Linked DNA regions of Xenopus tropicalis. The protein of the gene in region 1 interacts with the protein of each later gene in a pairwise test. Links are inferred from orthologs where the notes say so. Each region holds a gene or a part of one and is shown in the gene's direction. Other genes may lie near its edges.

The links.
Region 2: the proteins of ptn (region 1) and taf1d interact in a two-hybrid assay, tested with the Homo sapiens proteins (2 studies listed by BioGRID and IntAct). The link is inferred for Xenopus tropicalis from reciprocal best matches to the Homo sapiens genes PTN and TAF1D.
Region 3: the proteins of ptn (region 1) and sgta interact in a two-hybrid assay, tested with the Homo sapiens proteins (2 studies listed by BioGRID and IntAct). The link is inferred for Xenopus tropicalis from reciprocal best matches to the Homo sapiens genes PTN and SGTA.
Region 4: the proteins of ptn (region 1) and dnajb11 interact in a two-hybrid assay, tested with the Homo sapiens proteins (2 studies listed by BioGRID and IntAct). The link is inferred for Xenopus tropicalis from reciprocal best matches to the Homo sapiens genes PTN and DNAJB11.
Region 5: the proteins of ptn (region 1) and ubqln4 interact in a two-hybrid assay, tested with the Homo sapiens proteins (2 studies listed by BioGRID and IntAct). The link is inferred for Xenopus tropicalis from reciprocal best matches to the Homo sapiens genes PTN and UBQLN4.
Region 6: the proteins of ptn (region 1) and chd3 interact in a two-hybrid assay, tested with the Homo sapiens proteins (2 studies listed by BioGRID and IntAct). The link is inferred for Xenopus tropicalis from reciprocal best matches to the Homo sapiens genes PTN and CHD3.

Annotation. Positions count from the first base shown.
Region 1 is NC_030679.2:6,056,056-6,059,555, forward strand, and holds part of ptn (pleiotrophin), read left to right. Parts: coding exon 1-104; intron 105-3,500.
Region 2 is NC_030678.2:100,288,672-100,292,171, reverse strand, and holds part of taf1d (TATA box-binding protein-associated factor RNA polymerase I subunit D), read left to right. Parts: intron 1-1,201; coding exon 1,202-1,589; intron 1,590-3,500. UniProt on the Homo sapiens protein: Component of the transcription factor SL1/TIF-IB complex, which is involved in the assembly of the PIC (preinitiation complex) during RNA polymerase I-dependent transcription.
Region 3 is NC_030677.2:99,258,909-99,262,922, forward strand, and holds the start of sgta (small glutamine-rich tetratricopeptide repeat-containing protein alpha), read left to right. Parts: upstream 1-1,214; 5' UTR 1,215-1,258; coding exon 1,259-1,358; intron 1,359-2,352; coding exon 2,353-2,456; intron 2,457-3,149; coding exon 3,150-3,228; intron 3,229-4,014. UniProt on the Homo sapiens protein: Co-chaperone that binds misfolded and hydrophobic patches-containing client proteins in the cytosol. Mediates their targeting to the endoplasmic reticulum but also regulates their sorting to the proteasome when targeting fails.
Region 4 is NC_030685.2:43,695,059-43,699,211, reverse strand, and holds the start of dnajb11 (dnaJ homolog subfamily B member 11), read left to right. Parts: upstream 1-1,353; 5' UTR 1,354-1,371; coding exon 1,372-1,445; intron 1,446-4,153. UniProt on the Homo sapiens protein: As a co-chaperone for HSPA5 it is required for proper folding, trafficking or degradation of proteins.
Region 5 is NC_030684.2:133,265,887-133,270,163, reverse strand, and holds the start of ubqln4 (ubiquilin-4), read left to right. Parts: upstream 1-1,477; 5' UTR 1,478-1,502; coding exon 1,503-1,640; intron 1,641-4,277. UniProt on the Homo sapiens protein: Regulator of protein degradation that mediates the proteasomal targeting of misfolded, mislocalized or accumulated proteins.
Region 6 is NC_030679.2:146,918,622-146,922,121, reverse strand, and holds part of chd3 (chromodomain-helicase-DNA-binding protein 3), read left to right. Parts: intron 1-738; coding exon 739-870; intron 871-1,779; coding exon 1,780-1,879; intron 1,880-2,821; coding exon 2,822-3,013; intron 3,014-3,500.

The DNA of each region.
Region 1 (3,500 bases):
AACCAGGACCGGCAGCTTGAAGAGAGCCCTGCACAATGCCGAGTGCCAGAAAACCGTGACCCTGTCCAAGCCCTGCGGGAAGGTCACCAAACCAAAACTTCAAGGTGAGTCTCCCCCCCCTTCTTATGTCACACATGGTATATTCCCAATTTGCAACCGGAATGTTTCTCCCCTTGCCATGAACATTATTGTGCCCCGTCTCTCCCTGCTGCCATCAGTTTGTGCTTCCTGGGGTCACACGGGGAGAGGGCCCCGGCCTGTGCTTATTGGCCGCGTGTCAGCGTCCAGCTTCCATTACACTCTGAGCCGACGCTCCCCTCCCAGGAAAGGGAATCCATTGCCTCCTGACATGATTATCCTGTTTATTCTGCACGCCCTGAATTATTGATCAGCGCTGCAAGTGCTTCTGGGAAATGACTGACCCAGAGGCATAAATATTAATACTAATGAGCTGCAACAATGCGCCATCTATAAAGTGGTGTTTAGGCGCCCGAGCCGCTTTGTGGCTACTGGAATATACAGTACGACTTTACTGTCTGCCATAGGAGGGATCCTTTCTCCCATGTAATTATAGATGCAAGAAAATTCTCCAATGAGCATTCTACTGACTAAATATCTCATTATAAATGCAGGAGAAGTGACCAATGAGAATGCTGATTCCCAGCACTGTGTCGGCCATCTTGCTGGTACCTTACATATAGAGATAATGATGGCATTTTTCCCGTCATTATATGGCACAGGAATCAGACATGGGGATAAAGGGACAGACTTGTTCAGTGCTGGGAAACTGTGCTTATTGCTCCCAACTCCAATTGCAGGAACAGAGAACAGGGAGCCGGATTTACTCACATCAGCTGGGATTCCCATTGGGGGATTTGGGGGAAAGTTTTATTGGGCAATATTGCTTTAAGAATCCAACCCTGATGTTGCTGGACTACAGCTCCCAGCATGCCTCAGCCTTCATTATATGTTACATTATTCTGGGATTTGTAGTCCGGATACAACTAAATAAAGTTGAGCAGTGCAGAAGGGTTTATATCCCCTTTAACAGAAAGCAAGTATTGGGGCTGATCAGGGTTTAACTGGGTGGGTCAAGTAAATCTGTAATACCTACCCCAGCCTTGGGGGGTGTTTTATTGGCTAGGCCAGTGGTTGGTTTGTGGATAAGGCATTAGTGGGTATCAGGTAAAAATGCAGGTCTGGGTCAGAAAATGGACCCATGTAGGACTGTACCCTGATCTCTACTGTCAGGCTCCCTGGAGTCCTTGGTTATTTTCACAGGGACTAAACCAAGTAGAAAGGAAAGCAGGGAGAGCAGAGAGATGGTGCCTCTAGTGGCCACAGACACAAACTGCGGCTCGAAAGGCTTCCCCAGTGTGGCAGCTCCATTCCTAATAAACGCCGCACAGCCCTTCCTCTGATTATAGGAGAATTCTGGGGGAAATGGCAGGGTTAGCTTTGCCTTTCCGTATAAATGTGACTATGGGGGGGGGGGGGAAATTGCTAAACTGGAGCATATGTCTCTCATCTAAACCACTCCCTGGTTGCTAAGGTAATTTGAGCCCTAGCAACAGGATATCTGACTCTTTCCAGATTTCAAATGGGGGTCACTGACCCCGGCAGCCAAACCCTATTGCTCTGTGAGGCTCCAGTTTTATTGTTATTGTTACTTTTTATTCCTTATCTTTCTATTGAGGCCCTCCTCTATTCATATTCTCTTTTAAACCACTGATTGGTTGCTAGGTTAAATAGGACCCTAGCAACCAGAAAACATCTAACTCTTTGCAGCTTTCAAATGGGGGTCACTGACTCCGGCAGCCAAACCCTATTGCTCTGTGAGGCTCCAGTTTTATTGTTACTGTTACTTTTTATTCCTTATCTTTCTATTCAGCCCCTCCCCTATTCATATACCAGCCTATCATTCAAACGCCTCCGTGGTTGCTAAGGTCATTGGAGCCCTAGCAACAGGATAACTTACCCCAGCAGCCAAACCCTATTGCTCTGTGAGGCTCCAGTTTTATTTTTATTGTTACTTTTTACTCTTTATATTTCTATTCAGCCCCTCCCCTATTCATATACCAGCCTCTCATTCAAACCACTCCCTGGTTGCTAAGGTAATTTGAGCCCTAGCAACAGGATATCTGACCCCAGCAGCCAAAACCTGTTGCTCTGCGAGGCTCCAGTTTTATTGTTATTGTTACCTTATTCATATACCCGTCTCTCTCTCTCATACCACTCCCTGGTTACTAAGGTAATTTGGACCCTAGCAACAGGATAACTGATGAAATTCAAAACGGGAGAGCGTAAAATAACTTAAAAAAAACTACCAATAATAAAAAATGAAGACCAATTGCAAATTGTCTCAGAATATGACTCTCTACATCCTACTAAAAACTCTTTAACCCTTTACATTCTGTAGATTGTACAATACAATGCGTTGATTTTACGTTTCAAGGTCATGCATTGGGGGGGCCGATACATATTTATTCCCTTAATGCTGCTTATTCCATTTCCCCCCTATTTTATATCATCATTACCCGGCAGGAATTACGGAACAATCCGCGCTTATGTTCCGCCAGACTGTACCTGGGGGGCAATTTGTGAAGCTAAAAGCGGGGAGCACTTACCCTTCGTTGGCTGGAATGGTTGGAACGTCAGCGCCGGTTCCATGGAAGCTCATTGTGATCGTGTTATTGTTATTATACAGTGCGGGGGGTTTATTGTGCTCCATAAAATGATACGTATGGCTCGTGTCGGTTTCTCTGCCCTATTATTTCAGCTCATTTTCTTAGATAAGCGGGTTGGTAAATACTGTGCCCCGGCTGTGGCGCTTCCCTCTATTGCCGGGACTGTAATTCTTATAGCGATCCTGCTGCTTTATATTCACCTGCTTAGTATAGAGAAATGTTTATACAGCCATAGAGTTATGGTATCTCTCTGTACGGGCTATGGGCAAACTTAGGGGGCTGTTCCTGCTGAATTGTGCTTAGTACAGGGGAATCCCTATGTGCCATAGTTTTATGGTATCTCTCTGTACAGGATATGAGCAAACTTAGGGGGCTGTTCCTGCTGAATTGTGCTTAGTACAGGGGAATCCCTATGCTGCCATAGTTTTATGGTATGTCTCTGTACAGGCTATGAGCAAACTTAGGGGGCTGTTCCTGCTGAATTGTGCTTAGTACAGGGGAATCCCTATGTGCCATAGTTTTATGGTATCTCTCTGTACAGGCTATGGGCAAACTTAGGGGGCTGTTCCTGCTGAATTGTGCTTAGTACAGGGGAATCCCTATGTGCCATAGTTTTATGGTATCTCTCTGTACAGGCTATGAGCAAACTTAGGGGGCTGTTCCTGCTGAATTGTGCTTAGTACAGGGGAATCCCTATGTGCCATAGTTTTATGGTATCTCTCTGTACAGGCTATGAGCAAACTTAGGGGGCTGTTCCTGCTGAATTGTGCTTAGTACAGGGGAATCCCTATGTGCCATAGTTTTATGATATCT
Region 2 (3,500 bases), on another chromosome or scaffold:
AGAATATACAAAAAAAAAAAGCTACTACAGTTTTTAGCTTGCCAGGATACAGTTTCTAAAACACAGAAATCCCAATCTTCAGAACCCTCCCTTCCTTTTTTTCTAATCACTAGCTCTCTCATTACCAAACAAGCAGATCTTCTCCCGATATGCCCACCTAAAGTGGGTGATATTGGGCTAGGGTTAAATGATGGGATTACAAAAACGGGTATAGGAGGCAATGCGGTCCCTGATCCAACCAGAAAAATCAAACCTGCCTGATTTTTGGCCAGATATTGGTCGGGGAGGCATGTCTGGGTCCCCATACACAGGCAGACAAGCTGCCAATTAGGGCTAAGGACTCTAATCGGTATCTTAAATCTGCCTGTGTATGGCAACTTTTATATTGAGTAATTTGTGATTTAATCACAGCTAGAGAGCCAACTGTTGTAACTAGATGATCCTTCAGCTGTCACAGAGCAACAATTCGCTCCTACCAAAGACACATGCCTTTTTTGTTCTCAACATCCAGAGGGCCACCACTCATATGGAGGAACATTCTTTTTTGTAATCATCAGACAGTGGCTCTCCAGCTGTCCCTGATTTCCTACCGTCAGCCAAGGGTGCATACAGTTCTTGTTCTGTAATGCTGGGGGATGCCACTTCCTCACATAAAACAACATTTTTGTTGTTGCATCAGTATTCAATAGCACTTATCAAAGGGCTGACCTCCACCTGTCCCTGATATACTATCTCCAGGCAAGGGTGCAAGATGGGGTCCACCACTCACATGATGAACATGCTTTTTTGTAATTATCCCATAGTATATATCATACAGTGGTCCTCCAGCTATCCCAGATTAACTACCTTCAGCCAAGTGTGCATGCAATTCTTGTTCTTTGACAACTGAGGGCCACCTACCCATGTGAAGGAACATGGTTTTTTTTTTTGTGAGTATTAAATAACGTGTATCATAAGGTGCCTCTCTAGATTTTCCTGAAGACTTCAATCCAAAGGTGGAGGCAGTTCTCCTCTTGTAACAGCTGGAGGGCTACCTGCTCACATGGTGGGATGCACCCAGCTCTTTAAGCACTTCAAATGCACTCTCCCAAAATAATTACTGCTGTATCCAGGTGGTAACAGTGCACCCATGAGCTTAGTGTCCTTTCTTTTTTAAATTTTTATCCCAGTAACAGTGTTTTCATTTATTTTCTTTCTTTAGCTGTTCTGAATCCAGTAGTAGCCTATTCCAGACTGAAATTACCTGCACACCTTCAAGAACCAGGAGACGACAAACTGCAAATAGACCCAAACCCTTGTCACCACTGTCATCTTTATCTGACTCCTCAGACTTTGAACCATTACCAAAGAATGTCCCTTTGGAAAAGATCTTTGAGCGGTTCAGGAAAATGAAAAAAAAACATAAGAGAAAAAGACAGAAAAAGAAGTACAGAAAGCATTTAATTACAGAAAAGAAACCCAAGAAACCTCCAACAAAAAAGCTCACTATTCCTTTGCAAGAAAAGTATCGCCGACTTAAAGAAAGAACAGTTGAGTTCCCTTTTACTGGCCAAAAATATTTGCATTTTAAACGGTATCTTCCTTATGAGGTGAGATATTTTTAAATTTTCATCTTTACGAAACAATTATATTGATTTGTAAATTGTAAATAGATTCAGTGGAACATACCATTAGATAAACGGTTTCAAGTTCTCAATGTTCCCTTCCAGGCCTTAATTTAGGGATTTTGTTTTAGGGCTAGAACTGGGGTAGGGAGAGGCAACTGCTTAGGACACAATGACGGTGGGCACCAGGCAGGTACCTTTCTTGCTTTTTACTTTGCCCCCACCCCTTGTCACTGAATGGCATACCCCCACCTACATTATTAATTTATGTAGCACTGTACAATAGGGTCAAACATACAGATGTCTTAAAAATATTTACATGAAGGGGCAGATTTACTAAAACTCATACATTTCTCATAATTTTATAAAATGTCTGACATTTACTAAAAAATATGAACTTACAAGTCACAGAAGCTGTAACTTTTTTGAATTGTCGCCCTGAAAACTAGAATTTTATTGCATTGTCACATAAAAGCCAGTGTAAAAAATCTGACACCTCTAAAGTTTCAAGGCAAAAGAAGGATCTTTCAGGAAAGGGGCTGGCCTCTACATGATCTTGGCAATTTTTAGCTGGCGAATTATCGGATTTGGATTTTTAGCTGTTTAGACGCATAGTAAATCTCAAAAATGTTGCAATTTTGTTTTCTGTGACTTTTCGGCACTAAAAATCTGAATTAGAAAAAAAAAAATCAGACGAATAGTAAATGGGCCCCTAAGGGGCCCATTTACTATTGCACAAACTGGCCGAATGCGTCCGAATGCGGTTTTTTTTGTAAAGATCTGTATTTTGCGATTTTTCGCAAAATTGTCGCGATTTTTTCGTAGCTATTCCGAATGTTTCGCAAAATGTATCGCTACGACTTGCGCGAATTGTCGCGACTTTTTCGCAGCTTTCGCGCTGAGTACGAAAGTTTCGGATTCATTCAAGCTTCAGTATGGTGACTTTTCTTGGGCCAGGTTGGAGCTGCAGGGTGCCATTGAGTCCTATGGGAGGCTTCCAAAATCATGCTAAGTCTGAAAGTTTCGCCCGCCGCTTACAAGCGCTCAATACGAAAAAGTCACGACAAGATACGAGCAAATCGTAACGGTTATGAAAAAGTCGCGGCTTTTCGCGCAAATCGTAATGGTTACGAAAAAGTCGCGACAATTTATGAAAAGTCGTAATGGCGACGAAAAAATCGCAATCGGAATTTTTCCAATTCGGATTCGAATTTGTGTCTTAGTAAATCAGCCCCTAAGTGTTTTATTGCACATGATAATTTCTAAAAATGGTTTCTCTTAAGTTTACCTTAGAATGAAACATTAATACCATGAACTGTTACACTGTCTATCCTAATATAGCTCACTTAAATTGCATTTCTTATCTGATGTATCTGATTTATACATTCACATACCTATTCAGTCTCTCTCTATTCAACAAACTTGAAAGAACTTTAAATATTCAGATGTGAGAGTGTGTTAAAAGCAAGAAATGAACTTAAATTGCACTGTAATGTAATATATCAGTTTAATTTTTAAAGAGGTAGTTAACCTTTAAGTTAACTTTTGTATATTATAGTATGGATTATTCTTAACAACTTTTCAATTGGTTGTAATTTTTTTAATTTCTTTATAATTGCTAAATAATATAACTCCTTTTCTGCCTCTTTCCAGCTTTCAAATGGGGTTCACTGACACTTGCAACCAAAAAACTATTGCTCTATGTGGCTGCAATATTATTGTTATTGTGTTTATTCTGTTTTATTCATGCTTGCGACTCTAATTCAAGCCAATGCTTTGTTGCTAAGGTAAATTGGACCCTATAAGAGCCGCTAAACAACAAAGCTAAATAAATCAAAACCATAACTAGAAAATGAAGATCAATTACAGATTGTCTAATGCAGTGGTTCTCAACCT
Region 3 (4,014 bases), on another chromosome or scaffold:
GGAGGTGACTTTGCCTAGGTCTGGGTGTCCTGTCTGCATCCGCTCAGCCATTACTGAACCACAGGATCCTGTATGTGCTGATAACAGCATTGTTGACGTCTGTACCATCCATTTGACACAGTACCATCCATTTGACACATTTCTGACCGCTACTGCCTTTAGGGCTCTGGCACACGAGGAGATTTGCGTTTTTTCCCCCTGGTGCTTTGGCGACAAGTCGCCACGACAATACCCACAAAGAGATTTCATGCGAGTTGAGCTCCAGGCGATCTGCTACCCATGGTACACTCAACAGTCAACCCCCCCTCATGTTTACTCAAGTCGCTCAGAAAAGGGTCTGTGTGCGATTTTAAACAGCAGGCGATTTGAAGCTGACGCTGGCGATTTCCATTGATTTATATCTTGTCGCTCGTCTTGTCGCCAAATCGCTCTTTTAAAAATCGCTGGCAACAAATCTCCTCATGTGCCACAGCCCTTAAACTGGGCTTTCCCTAAAATTCTTCAGCTGATTAATCATCCATGCAATGGAAAGGTCATTGGGGCTCATTTATCAACACTGGGCTCATTTATCAACACTGGGCAAAATTGCACCTTGGCAGTAACCCTTGCCAACGAATCAGTGATTAGCTGTTTTCAGCTGGCTGAAGGTTGGGAAAGAAAAAATCTGATTGGTTTCCGTGGAGTTACGCCCAGGGGCAAATATGCCCTGTCTTGTAAGGGACCTGTGGTGTTTCTGAAAGTGCTATGCCGTAGTGATAAAAATACTAGGTATTTTAGCAGATGCTGCAGCTCTTATGTTGAAGTCTACCTTTGGAAGATAATACAGTGTGTGTATGTCATACAAACCCTGTTAACTGGGTGGAAATATTGAAAATGTGTATAAGTGTGGCCCTAGATATATGGGTTGTGGGTGACCATATGTACATAAACACTGTTTTCTTTTTCCTTTGAGACCTGTGGCATATCCAGTGGCCGCTCTAAACAACAGTATTTGTTGAACAAGGGGAGCTAAAAATGACGAACATTATTGGATATGCCTGCAGAGAATGGTGCATTGTTAATCATTTGTATAAATGTACTTGTGAATATTTGCTTAATGATAAAATGGCAAAGACTGGTGATTCTGAATGGTACCTGGAAAAATATATCTATTTTTTTTTTTATCAGATATGAATTCATATTCACTGACATTGTTTATGTTTTAATGCCAGTTTATTTGCAGAGTCGGACCTTGTCACTTGAAGTGTTCACAAATCCAATGGCTGACAAAAAACGCTTAGCTTTCTCCATTATTCGGCATTTACATGACCAGTTACGCAATGGTGGGCTTTCCTCAGATGCACAGGAGAGCCTGGAAGGTCTGGTTGTTACTTCATATTCTATCTTTCTGTTTATTTGATGGGGGAACTATTCTTATGAGACAAAATAGTTTTTTCTTTTCCTTGCTTTTTCATAAAACTTATGATATTCAGCCTGCACCCACCTGGGGCTACTGAACTACTGCCAGATACTTGAAGTGCAAGTTTAACAGGCAGTAGTCCAGAGGATGGAGAGCAGTACTTTTAAATGCATTCTAATATCTAAATGCTTCTTACCATGCATACGGGCAGTAATCCCCAACCAGTGGCTCGCAAGCAACATGTTGCTTACCACCCCTTTTGATGTTGCTTCCACCGGCCTCAAAATAGGTGCCCATTTTAAAATTTCTGGCTTGGAGGCAGGTTTGAAAGCCAGACACAGATTTACTCCAAGCAGAGCCTCCTGCAGGCTAGCAGTCCATTTGGGGCTACCAAATAGCCCATCAGGATGTTGAGAGTAAGTTAAGATTTTTTATGTAGTGTATAACGTGTTATGAATGTTTTGTTTTTTTAAATTATTAATGTAACAATTTTCAGCCTGCAACTGAAAATGCTCTCTGGTTGTTGGAGATCATTGACCTGGGCGAGTAAAATTGAATGAATGTGAGAGTTCAGATTTATTGTTAGTTTGATTATCTTTTTTTCTGTTCATCTTCTTTTAATCATCCATTGTGACTTCCAAACTGCTGTCTGGTTGTTGTATTAGCTTGCACCTCTGGTGGGGAAGTGTTTCTGTTGATCAGTCTCAATTACACCCTGATTCATTCATTTAATAACTGTAAAAAATGAAAATGTACAAGTTTGTAAATTAATATTGTGAATGTTAGTCCACAAATGTTTTCAATGCAAGCCTGCATTGAATGAATTAAGTGTTCCATCCCAGGGAAGTCTTCTGGTCTTTCTCTGATGCTTGAATGCAGGAACTATTGGATTACTTTAAATATATTTGTGTATAATTACTAGATGGAAGCATTATGTAATTTGAATTTTACAGTTGCTATTCAGTGCCTGGAGACAGCCTTTGAGGTTTCCATTGAAGACAGTAACTTAGCTGTACCAAGGAGTCTCCAAGAGATATTTACAGAAGCCACATGTCAGGTAATCCTTGTAATTAGTTATTGACTGACATGAAATGGCATTGTTTTGGAAAAAAATGAATTGCGAAATTCTAAACTTTTTAAAGTCTACATACCATATTTCATCTTTCTTACAAACTTGATAACATAAAGGAGTAGGAAAGTTACAGTTACTGGGGCCAAAGTCTTAGGCATCCCCAATCATTGTAATTGCTTGCCTAAAACCCCCAACCAGTGCTCCTCTTAGGAGAAAACTGCATGGCTGGTGTGTATGTGAGCTAGTGATCCTTCTTCACATGCTCAGTAGAGAGAAAAGCCAGCTTTTCCGCTCAACTGCGCATGTGTCTGTCCTGGGATTATAAAGAAAGAAGACAGGAGGAAGAGGAAAGCTAGCTTGCATATACCCTGGGCCAGTGCAATTTCATCCTAACAGGAGCACCGGGCACAGGTATCAGGTAAGAGATTACAATCACTGGTGGGGGGGGGCTAACATTTGGCACCCCTCCGTGATTTAGCCTTTCCTTCTCCTTTAATCACAGCTTTTACTATAAGACTTTGTAGCTCTACATTCTAAGCTTTCTTACCGTTTTGTAAACTGAAACTTAAAACTAGCAAAGAAGAAAGATTGGTTTGCTGTCTAGACCATAGTTTTGGGAAAATGGTAACTTAATGCGCTGTTAATTAAAGCATTCTTCTTCTCTCCTCCCAAATTCAGGACTCTCCGCAAGTTAATTCTGGCCTGGCCTCCCCTTGTGATGAGGATGTAGCAGAAGCTGAAAGATTGAAGACAGAAGGTTGGACACTTGACATGTTGCATGATCTCTTAAAGGACAAGGCAACGCAAAATATAATTTTTGCCTAATAAAAGAAAACAAGATTCTAAGCAGCTTTGCAATATACATTTATTACAAATTTGTAATGATTTTTGAGTAATTTGTATTTATAATTGCTATTAAAAAGCAGTGTTTGCCTGTCCTTTTCTATTCTCTACCCTGGTGACTCTGACTGTTGAAACAATGTAACACAAGGCAGCAGATTGACAGACTTGACTTGCTGGAGGAGACAGTTGCAACACTGATTAGAAAGTAACAACCAGGAGTTCAGCAAATGCTGCTTTCAATAGCAATTACATTTACAAATAACTTTTAAAGCGCTACAAATTTTTAACTATTTTTCATATTGGAAAATTGCTTAGAATTATGTTTTCTTTTCTTATGCAAAAAGTTATTTTTGGGGTCGACATGCCCTTTAAAATTGTCCCTTGTATTAATTGTTCATGACTGTGAGGTTATGCAGAATATTCAATTGCATTAATTGAGAAGCCATGGTATATTGGTAAAAAAAAAATGGCATTAAGGAGTACATTTTGGGACAAGAAAATACTTGTGGTAGCATAGTTAGACAGTATGGCAGTATAAGGATATTTGATTTAAAGGCGTTTATATAATCTCCACTTCTCTAAATTCACATCTTAACTTTTTTCCTATATTTTTCTTTATATCACCCTCATTTCACCTTTCACCCTTAATCCAGATTTCTTTGCCATTTGCCACTGATTTTGTCCATTTAATATAATTCCC
Region 4 (4,153 bases), on another chromosome or scaffold:
TGACGTCACACGCACACACGCAACCTTATAAAAGGGCCTGGCTCCGCCGAACAAGGAGCCGCATATAGAGAGGAGCCACTGAAGGAGAAGCAGCAGCAGCATGTATGGAGGCTCTGTGTATTGGGGGGGGGGGTACTGTGTATGGGGGTGCTACTGTGTATAGGGGCTAATGTGTATGGGGGCTACTGTGTATGGGGGCTACAGTGTATGGGGGGCAAAGCTGATACATAGTTATAACTCACTTATAACTGTCTGCCTTCTTTCTATATTTGTATTTTATATGTAGGAGTTGCTATATTGTTTTCCTTAGGTAGTACAGTATACAGGAGAGTATAGCACATTTGCGTCTGATCCCGCCATTTCATCTACTTGTAGATTGTAAGCTCTTTTGGGCAGGGCCCTCTTCACCTCTTGTATCGGTTATTGATTGCTTTATATGTTACTCTGTATGTCCAATGTATGTAACCCACTTATTGTACAGCGCTGCGGAATATGTTGGCGCTTTATAAATAAATGTTAATGTAATATACAAAAGGAGTATTTTTTAAAAAAATGGGGTGTGGTAATTGGGGCGTGGCCACTAAAGCGGGCGTGGTCAAAATCTTTTTGTCCCTCTTTTCATTTTTCAAATGTTGGGAGGTATGGCACTACTATATAGGCAGTGCTGTACAGCATAACAACACATTCAAAAACAAGTAGGGGCCATTAATATAATAGATAAAGGCAGAGTACAATTACAAATAAATAAAAAGTACAGTTGCATTAAATATTCCACAGAGCTAGATGACGTGCATGGAGGTCCCTGCCCCACAGAATTTACAATCGAAGACTATTGAAACTAAAGCTTAAATTATATAGAAGCGTGCCGTGTTGTATTGCATTCTCATGTAAAGTTCTGATTGCATTACGCACATTAACAATCATGTCATTTGGGCGAATTTAAAATTTGCTCAAACACTGCTGTGCTGTTCTTTTATCTTTCTTCTCTATTGACATTATTGGCGTCAAGGCAATTTTTACAGACCAGGCCATAGCCATTCAATGTAAGAAAGCACATAAACGCGCGTTCTATTTCCCGAGGTGCAGGATCAGTCGTATAAAACCATAAGCACGACCATTTACGTATTACTATTGGCTGTACAGCTAAGCATGTACGTTTGCCATGTCTGTGAATATCATTGGACAAAATCACGCGGAAACTACACAGCAAAATCTTCTTATTGGTTATTTATATATGCGTGTCTTATGACGTGCTCCGTTGTAATTGGTTGCGGCGCTGTAGTATTACGTTTGCTTCTGCTTTTCGCTAAATACTCCTCGTTGTGGTGAATGTGAAAATTGAGAAACTTGTCTGTTCCTCGTATCTGAATCATGAAGGTCTGCTATAAATCCACTACCGGTGTTTGCTTCTTAATATTTTACCTGATGGTCATTGTCAGCGGAGGGTAAGGATCGCGTTATTTGCAGTGGTTACCCTTTCATTTAACAGGATTGCATTCATAAAATGTAAATTTGGATTAAATGCAGGCTTCCTTGAGTGGCTGTTTGTAACTTTAAATTTTGACTTTTTGTTTAACCATTAATGTATGTTTTGGCTATTTTATTATAGTTCCTGTGTGTCAACCTGTTTCCACAGACTAGATTTATATGTCATATACTGTATATTACATGTTAGTATGGGACCGAATTTGTGTAACCAAAGGTCTTCCACCATGTTTTTTTTAATTACTTTCTGCAAAAGTCCGAGTATGCTGTAAATCATATTTCACAATGGAGATTTTAAAAAATTGCATTTATGCCAGTGACATGCAGAGTGGGGAAATTAAAGTAAGTAAAATGTAGTGATTGGTAAATGGAACATTTTTTGGTATTTTGTACTATAGATGAAGGGGAAAGTGATAGGAACATAGGGAGAAAGTGATGAGAACAGATATGTCTATGAAGATTTTCATTCATCCAGGTCATGGTATATCTAGTATAAATAAATTTAAAGCAACTGGACTTGTTTGGTAATCATTGAAGACGTTTCACTACTCATCCGAGCAGCTTCTTCAGTTCAACTGACTGGTATGGGAAGTCCTCAGCATATATACTCTAATTATACTTATATACTTCAAGAGTATTTATGCTGAGGACTTCCCATACCAGTCAGTTGAACTGAAGAAGCTGCTCGGATGACTAGTGAAACGTCTTCAATGATTACCAAACAAGTCCAATTGCTTTAAATTTATTTATACTAGATATGATGAGAACAGAGTGAACAAGATGAGGGAAGCAGCAAAAGAATGTTTAACAAATTGAGCTTTAATATTTTACAGTAGATCAAGAAAAGCCTGGTGTTTTGTTTGGTGACTGTTAGTGAAGGTGCAGATTTGGCAACCATTCGTCATAAAAATATTATACAGCAACACTTGGCATTTCCATTGTTTAAAGTAATATGGAATAGATTCATATAATTATTTCATTGTTTTTACTATCTAAATGCATATTATAATGTATAAAACACATTTAGAACAATAGGTCATGAACAATAGTTATGTAAGCCGAAAGTAATGTTAAAACCCGAAAACTTTGAGTTTGAACGGATGTTTCCATGAATCCTCTTTATTTTTCCCAAACAGGAATTACTCCAGCAGCCATTTTAGGAGAATTGGCGCACATTCAAGTTTCACTTGAAACTGGGTGAAATACAAAACAATGATGGGCTTAACTTCCACTTGAAAACGTGTGAAATAGAAGTCAATTAACTTCCCTTTGAAACTACGTGCAACAGAAAACAATGAGGGGGATTAATTTACACTTGAAACTGGGTGAAACAGAAAGGGGGTTTACTTCTCCTTGAAAATGTGTCAAGGACAAGCTGTCACTGACTATTCTATTTTTCTTCTAATAGGACCCAGTGATACATGATAGATCAAACCTGCCTGATTTTTTTTTTTATTACCCCCCTCAAAAAAATTCATAAATCACAAATGATGGGATTATTTTCGTAAAACTCTAATTATACGGGAAACAATATCAGAAAAATCGAGTACTGGCAAAAACCCATTCGTAAATCTGATCGTAATTGCAAATGATGGTGTAGAATTCTGCTGTTAAGAAGTTAAAGGAAATGTATACCCCCAGAATGAATACTTAGCCAGCAAATAGTTTATATCATAATAAGTGGTGTTCTAAAGAATCTTACCAAACTTTAATATATTTCAGTAAATATTGCTTTTTTTACCTTGAGCCATCATTTTGTGATAGTTTGTGAGCTTCCTTAGAGATCACATGGCCAGAAATAATGCAGCTCTAACTGTTACAAGAAATAGTGTTGGAGTAAAAGTCAGAATTTTCTCCATTAATTGGCTGACCTAATATGTATGTGTGCCCTTGGTTTATTTGTGTGCACCGTAAATTGTATGATACCAGGGGGTGGCCCTTAGTACTTATAATGGCAATTTTCTATTACCCAATGGCACATACTAATAAACTTTTATTTATAAAAATGGTTTATTTAGTTGGACAGAGTTTTACATATGAGCTGTTTTATGCAATATGTTTTTATAGAGACGTACATTGTTTGGGAAGTATAGTTTTCCTTTAACTTCCTTCGGCCTCCACTCTAAAAAGTGCAACAATACAAGAATGTAATTCTCAGTAACATTGAATTTTTTTATTGATTTTATTTTTTTTTGTAATTGCAGTTGAATGCATTATTTGCTTATCCCAATATCCCCATCACCTATTTGTTTATCCCTTTATATGCTCTGGCTCTTAAAATAGAGTAACATAAATAAGTTATCCTCCAATTCTGTTAAAGGAGACATTTTATATAAAGTTCATATTCAGTTCTAATATTCATCCTCCCTCAAAATGTGAAATGATGCAGAAAGAAAGATGTTTTGAAAGCATTTTTCCTCCTAAAACTGGCATTATATGAGAGCAGCATACAAAAGAGAGGAGCGAGTAGAGCAGGAATGGACTGTCTGTGAGCTCACTAAGCCCCAACCACTCTATGAATATTCACTTCACTTTAAGTAGGTGAGGAGGGTGTCATAGAAGTCTATGAGGGCCGGTGGCTCTGAGTGATATACTGAAGAGTCTAAACCGGAAGCTGGCATAAGGTCTGGGTAGAGCACAGTTTTCAAGCAGTTATGGACATATTTGA
Region 5 (4,277 bases), on another chromosome or scaffold:
GGGCAGGGAAGGGAGGCTGGCAGGCAGGCAGCGGGGAAGGGAGGCTGGCAGGCAGGCAGCGGGGAAGGGAGGCTGGCAGGCAGGCAGCGGGGAAGGGAGGCTGGCAGGCAGAGGGGCAGGGAAGGGAGGCTGGCAGGCAGAGGGGCAGGGAAGGGAGGCTGGCAGGCATTGGGGAAGGGAAGGGAGGCTGGCAGGCATTGGGGAAGGGAAGGGAGGCTGGCAGGCAGAGGGGCAGGGAAGGGAGGCTGGCAGGCAGGCAGCGGGGAAGGGAGGCTGGCAGGCAGGCAGCGGGGAAGGGAGGCTGGCAGGCAGGCAGCGGGGAAGGGAGGCTGGCAGGCAGAGGGGCAGGGAAGGGAGGCTGGCAGGCAGAGGGGCAGGGAAGGGAGGCTGGCAGGCATTGGGGAAGGGAAGGGAGGCTGGCAGGCATTGGGGAAGGGAAGGGAGGCTGGCAGGCATTGGGGAAGGGAAGGGAGGCTGGCAGGCATTGGGGAAGGGAAGGGAGGCTGGCAGGCAGAGGGGCAGGGAAGGGAGGCTGGCAGGCATTGGGGAAGGGAAGGGAGGCTGGCAGGCATTGGGGAAGGGAAGGGAGGCTGGCAGGCATTGGGGAAAGTATAGGACAAATAAGCGGAAGGTAACGCCATGGGGCAGGGATGTAAGAATGCACTGGAGTATGGCAGCAGTTTTGGGACAAATTGCAGGGAGGGGAGCAATAGGCCAGGATAAATGCACTGAAATGAGGGAGCAGGATGTAGGGAAAGGATGCCGGGAGTTGTAGGCTCTGTAGGCACTGGCACTGTGGCAGCCAAGAGCGGACGAGGCAGACAAAAGACCTGCTACTCGGGGGGCTCCGGTACTTACAGGGTGCTCTGGACTCCCCCGGTGTTGGCCTGGCTCAGAACCTGGGTGAGCGCTTTGGGCCGCAACATATTCCGCTCAGTGCTGCAGCCTAACCTGTCACAGGGCCGCGGTCACATGAGCAATCCCACAGCCCGCCTCCCCAGGAAGTAGGCGCTAGGTATGATGGGTAATGTAGTCCGGCGAGCTCAGAATGCCGTATCTCGTACAATATCCATATAAAAGCTTCACAGAATCCTTTCCACCCAAATGGATGTCCAAATAACTGCAGGGTTCCTTTATATAAATGTCCCGAACAAGACACTGGATTAGCTGTTGCCAAGGTAACGCTAGGCCGTGAAACGCAAATCCAATAAATTCAAATAGTTTGTAATTGGTCGTGTGGCGTGTTATTGTTCCGTATTTTCAAGCCTCGCCCTCATACTCTCGTTTCATTGGGTGAGCGTGTCACCTGATTTAGAACATGACGCAGCACAGCTGGAACCTCAGTGCCTGTGATTCGTCCTCCGTGCCGGTAGGTGTCACCATGCGGCGAAGAGGTAAGTAGAACGGTCGGCGCTTTGCCAGTCATAGGAAGCCTATAATCCTCTCTTCGCGGCTTTCCTCCTTCCTATTGCTCCTCCTCGGGGTGGGCGGGTGCAGAGAAGATGGCGGAGAGCGGCGCTGATGGTGCGGCCTCCGGTACTACCGGGCCGGCTCCGGGAAAAGGACTTATTCGTGTCACCGTCAAAACGCCCAAGGACAAGGAAGAGATTGTTATTGGGGAAACGGCGTGCGTGCTGGAGGTGAGGGGCGGCTAACCCCGCCATCCTGCCTGGGGAGAGAGGGGCCAGCCCCAGCCTGAGAGCAATGGTCCCTCTGATAGAGAGAGAGGGGGACAGTCTGATAGAGAGAGGGGGACAGTCTGATAGAGAGAGGGGGACAGTCTGATAGAGAGAGGGGGACAGTCTGATAGAGAGAGAGGGGGACAGTCTGATAGAGAGAGGGGGACAGTCTGATAGAGAGAGGGGGACAGTCTGATAGAGAGAGAGGGGGACAGTCTGATAGAGAGAGGGGGACAGTCTGATAGAGAGAGGGGGACAGTCTGATAGAGAGAGAGGGGGACAGTCTGATAGAGAGAGGGGGACAGTCTGATAGAGAGAGAGGGGAACAGTCTGATAGAGAGAGAGGGGAACAGTCTGATAGAGAGAGAGGGGAACAGTCTGATAGAGAGAGAGGGGGACAGTCTGAGAGAGAGAGGGGGACAGTCTGAGAGAGAGAGGGGGACAGTCTGAGAGAGAGAGGGGGACAGTCTGAGAGAGAGAGGGGGACAGTCTGAGAGAGAGAGGGGGACAGTCTGAGAGAGAGAGGGGGACAGTCTGAGAGAGAGAGGGGGACAGTCTGAGAGAGAGAGGGGGACAGTCTGATAGAGAGAGGGGAACAGTCTGATAGAGAGAGAGGGGGACAGTCTGATAGAGAGAGGGGGACAGTCTGATAGAGAGAATGGAACAGTCTGATAGAGAGAGGGGAACAGTCTGATAGAGAGAGAGGGGGACAGTCTGATAGAGAGAGGGGAACAGTCTGATAGAGAGAGGGGAACAGTCTGATAGAGAGAGGGGAACAGTCTGATAGAATGGAACAGTCTGATAGAGAGAGAGGGGGACAGTCTGATAGAGAGAATGGAACAGTCTGATAGAGAGAGGGGAACAGTCTGATAGAGAGAGAGGGGAACAGTCTGATAGAGAGAGGGGAACAGTCTGATAGAGAGAGGGGAACAGTCTGATAGAGAGAGGGGAACAGTCTGATAGAGAGAGGGGGACAGTCTGATAGAGAGAATGGAACAGTCTGATAGAGAGAGGGGAACAGTCTGATAGAGAGAGAGGGGGACAGTCTGATAGAGAGAGGGGAACAGTCTGATAGAGAGAGGGGAACAGTCTGATAGAGAGAGGGGAACAGTCTGATAGAGAGAGGGGAACAGTCTGATAGAATGGAACAGTCTGATAGAGAGAGAGGGGGACAGTCTGATAGAGAGAATGGAACAGTCTGATAGAGAGAGGGGAACAGTCTGATAGAGAGAATGGAACAGTCTGATAGAGAGAGGGGAACAGTCTGATAGAGAGAGGGGAACAGTCTGATAGAGAGAGGGGAACAGTCTGATAGAGAGAGGGGGACAGTCTGATAGAGAGAGAGGAACAGTCTGAGAGAGAGGGGGACAGTCTGAGAGAGAGAGAGGAACAGTCTGAGAGAGAGAGAGGAACAGTCTGAGAGAGAGGGGGACAGTCTGAGAGAGAGAGAGGAACAGTCTGAGAGAGAGAGAGGAACAGTCTGATAGAGAGAGGGGAACAGTCTGAGAGAGAGAGGGGAACAGTCTGAGAGAGAGAGGGGAACAGTCTGAGAGAGAGAGGGGAACAGTCTGAGAGAGAGAGGGGAACAGTCTGAGAGAGAGAGGGGAACAGTCTGATAGAGAGAGGGGAACAGTCTGATAGAGAGAGCAGTCCAGTCTGATAGAGAGAGAAGGGAACAGTCAGAGAGAAAGAACAGTGAAGTGAAAGGAGCTCAGACTGATAGAGAGAAGAACAGTCTGATAGAGTGAGAAGAGCGGTCTGATAGAGTGAGGAGATCGGTCTGATAGAGGGTGAAGATCGGTCTGATAGAGAAAAGGAAGATCAGTCTGATAGAGTGAGGAGCCCAGATTGATGGAGAGAAAGATACGGCTGAGTGATGGAAAAGCCCAGCCTGGAAGAGGAAGGGGGAACAGTCTGATAGAGAGACAAGAACAGGCAGAAAGAACAGTGAAGTGAAAGGAGCTCAGTCTGATAGAGAGAAGAACAGTCTGATAGAGAGAAGAACAGTCTGATAGAGAGAAGAACAGTCTGATAGAGAGAAGAACAGTCTGATAGAGAGAAGAACAGTCTGATAGAGAATGTGCAGATGAGTCAGAGGAGCCCAACCTGAAAGTGAAAGAGATCAGATTGGAATAAATGGGCCGGGGCCTGATGGAGAAAGGGATGATCAGTCTGGTAGAGTGAGGAGCCCAGAATGATGGAGAGACAGATATGGCTGAGTGATAGAGAAGCCCAGCCTGGAAGAGGAAGGGATGGGTGGACAAGCAGGCCAAGCTGAAAGTGAAAGGGGTGATCAGTCTGAAAGAGAGGCGACCCTGTCTGGTAGAGAAAGGGATGGGTTAGTGCAGGGATCCCCAACCTTTCTTACCCATGAGCCACAGTCAAATGTAAAAAGACTTGGGGAGCAACACAAGCACCATAAAAGTTCATGGAGGAGCCAAATAAGGGCTGTGATTGGCTATTAGGGGCCTCTATGCACCCTATCAGCTTACAGGGGGCTTTATTTGGTAGGAAATCTTGTTTTTATTCAACCAAAACTTGCCCCCAAGTCAGGAATTCAAAATAACTCCCTGGTTTGGGGGCACTGAGAGCAACACC
Region 6 (3,500 bases), about 140 Mb from region 1:
CCCCCCCCCCATATTTCATTAGACACTAACCCCCAAATGTAATAAAAAGGCACTAAGTTTGCCCAGGAGCAGTAACCCATATCAACCAATAAGATGATTGCTTTTAGACAGGTGACTTTTAAATTCTACCTGCTAATTGGATGCTATGGGTTACTGCACCTGGGCAAGCTTAGTGTCTTTTATTACATAACCCCGTAAGTTTGCCCAGGAGCAGTAACCCATAGCAATCAGTAAGATGTTTGCTTTTAAACAGATAACCAGAAAATTCTGCCTGCTGATTGGTTTGCCATAGGTTACTGCTCCTGGGCAAACGTAGTACATTTTATTACAAAACCCCAATTTACTGCGGCCAATCGATCACTGAATTTACGGCTACAAATTAGTTCATTCTTGGGTTGCCAGAATTCTGTTGATAGAAAATGGTACCAGAGACTCCATATGGTCATAGATGGGCACCTCCCTGCCTGTAGATGTGTAAAGGATTATTAAACAAGGCATTTTTATTAAAGGTGACTATACCCAGGCACTGCTGTATGGGGACAAGATAGTAGATAGATCAGTATCTGATAGGAACTTATTCAACTAATAGATGGAGGGAGGAGCATCACATCAACCAATCACTGTTTCAGGTTGTGGAGACCATATGCTGCGGATGGCTCCTAATTTGATTTAATCTGTATGTAATTGGTACTTGCCGAGTCTGTGCACCATTTATGCTTCCCAACATTCTCTCCTCAGTCTGGATAAGCGAGGGAACTATCACTACCTTGTGAAATGGCGAGACCTGTCCTATGATCAGTCCACGTGGGAGGAGGATGCCATGAAGCTGCCAGACTATGAATACCACAAGCCGTTGTACTGGAGGCACAGGTACCATTGAAAGCCACAGGTAGAAATGGCAGTGCCGGAATCTTCCGCTTGTATGTCTCCTAGAAGTAAAGGGGCAGCATTATATCATTTCTGGGAGGGCCCTAACTGTTGGTACAGCTTGATGGTTTAGGTAAAGTCTGTTTGCTGGGGGGCTCTCTTTCATCCTCACGGATTACCAGGCACCTTCCTCCTCTCGGCTATTACTGCGCTTGGGATCTAAACCCAAGAAATGAAATGATCGAAACAGTTTACAATAATTTGCAATTTACATTAATTTTTTCTTCATAGTGGTTTCTGAAATATTAGCAGTTTTAAACTATTAATATCAGCACTCGCACCATATTGTTGGGTCGTGGATGGGTCTGGGCTGTCCTCTTGCTTCTGCCCGCCCCATCTGTGACATTACACTGCCCATCTTCTGGACCTGGAAGCCTCTATTTATAGGTGTGCGCCTGCCCCGCCCAGTCCCTTTTGTGACATCAGAAATGGGCGTGTCTGGCGTGGGTCTATGAATAGAGGTACATTGCCAGGTCAGGTTGGAATCGGGTTGGGAGGCAGCAGGTCGGGTGTGGGTCCACAAAATGTTCACCCACACATCACTAGAAGGGTCGCTGAAACTTTAACCTTTAAAAAGAGTAAAAGCCTGGTGTTAGTGGTCTAAAACTGCAAATATATCAGAAAAAGAGAAAACTACTATAAATTGCCAAAGTGCTCAGGGGAACCATCTGATTAAGTCTGCATCAATTAATGTTTTAGGTTAGATCCCCTTTATAATGGCCGCTCATTGTACAACCAGCAATGGTAGTAAAGCTATACCTGTATATAGTCAAGTATACCTGTGAGCCACACATTACCTCCTTTTTTTGGTGGTGATAAACTGGCAATCATCCTTCCAATTCTTTCTTTCAGGCAACTGATGATGGGAGATAGTGCCTGCTGCCCTCAGAAATACAAGAGACAACATAAGGAATCCTATTTACACGGGGTCCCCAGCTCTCCTATAAATGACGTAAGTGTTGTCCACACGTATCATGGTATTGTAGTATATAGGTGGGTAAGCCTGCTCTGTGTCTATGGTCTTTGTATCTGTCATGTAGCGATGCGTGGGTAGAGTAAAACTGGACCGGCGCCAGCCCCACCCACTGATGATGTCACAAAAGGGGTGTGGCACGCTCACGCCGCTAGTGTAAAGTTTCGGGTGGGAAGATCAAGCAGAAAAGCTCGACTCGTACCCACCTGGATCTAGAAAATGTTGTGCAAAGGTTGGCCCGAACCCACCCAACCCTCGGGCATAATAGTAGTAGTGTGTAAGGGGGTAGACAGTAGTGATGTGCGGCCCGGCCAAATACCAATAGGTCAGGTCAGTTCGGGCCAACCTCAGCACATCACTTGCGGGTCGTGGGTAGGTTCAGGTTGAGCTCTTCCACTCACTCTCCCTGCCCACAACCTAAAATTGCTGGAGGGTTAGGATCGAGTGGGGGGGGGGTCAAGTTTTTCTCATCCTGCACATCACTAGTAGACAGGTAGTGCCACGTGTATTTGTCCTGCAGCAATGACCCAATGAAAACAGGTATCCTGCAGATTATGGGTAGGATTTCCGAATGGGACAGGTCACGGGTCTATCTATATTTCTTATGTTATCTTATTTTATCTCTATTTCTCTTATGTATATTTTACTCTTTCTAAACGTTTTTTTTTTTCACCCCCCCCCCCCCGTCCACTGATGAAGTGATGACATCACTTCCAGTTTGCAGCAACAGCACTTCCTGTTTTAATGGTGGTCAGGGGATCAGTTTGCTGATAAGGAAGTTGGGGGTCGGGTAGTGGGTCCAAGCGGGTAGAAATGCGAGTTGTGGGTTTGGGTTTCAAAATTGGTTCTACTCAGGACTCTAGTTCACACCATGGTTAATCTGTGGGATAAAGTATCCGCTTGTGTATGTTTCCCTTGCAGCCTACAGTGAAGTATGATACCCAACCCCAGTTTGTATCGAGCACGGGCGGCACACTGCATATGTATCAGCTGGAGGGACTCAACTGGCTGCGATTCTCTTGGGCCCAAGGAACCGACACCATCCTGGCGGATGAGATGGGACTTGGAAAGACGATACAAACCATTGTTTTTCTGTACTCCTTGTATAAAGAGGTTAGAGAAAAAAATGGAGAGAATGAAAGGAATTTGAGAATAAGATGGGAATTTCAGTCTTGTACGCCATTGTTCTAAGACTATATGGCTGAAACTTTCCCTATGCATTTTCACTACAGTCCTATAGTGTAAAGCAGGGCTGCGATCAGAAATCATGGGGCCCCCTCAACAAAATTTTCTGCCCCCCCTCCCCCAGGGCCCCTCCCATTAGTGCAAAGGACACAGACCTAAAATGTATTAGGGCCTCCCTACCACAGTGCCCCCTAATGCTAGGCTGGCCAGGGCCCCCCATACACAGTGCCCCCAATTGCCCCCCTTAGACAGTGCCACCAAGTGCCTCATACAGTGCCCCCATACACAGTGCCCCCCATAGACAGTGCCTCCCGAAGTCGTCATCGTCGACTTCTGCTGCTGCTGATTCTTCACATGTATGCACGGGGCGCGACCAATCGGATGACAGGGCCCGGCCGTAATCGATTAAAGGGGG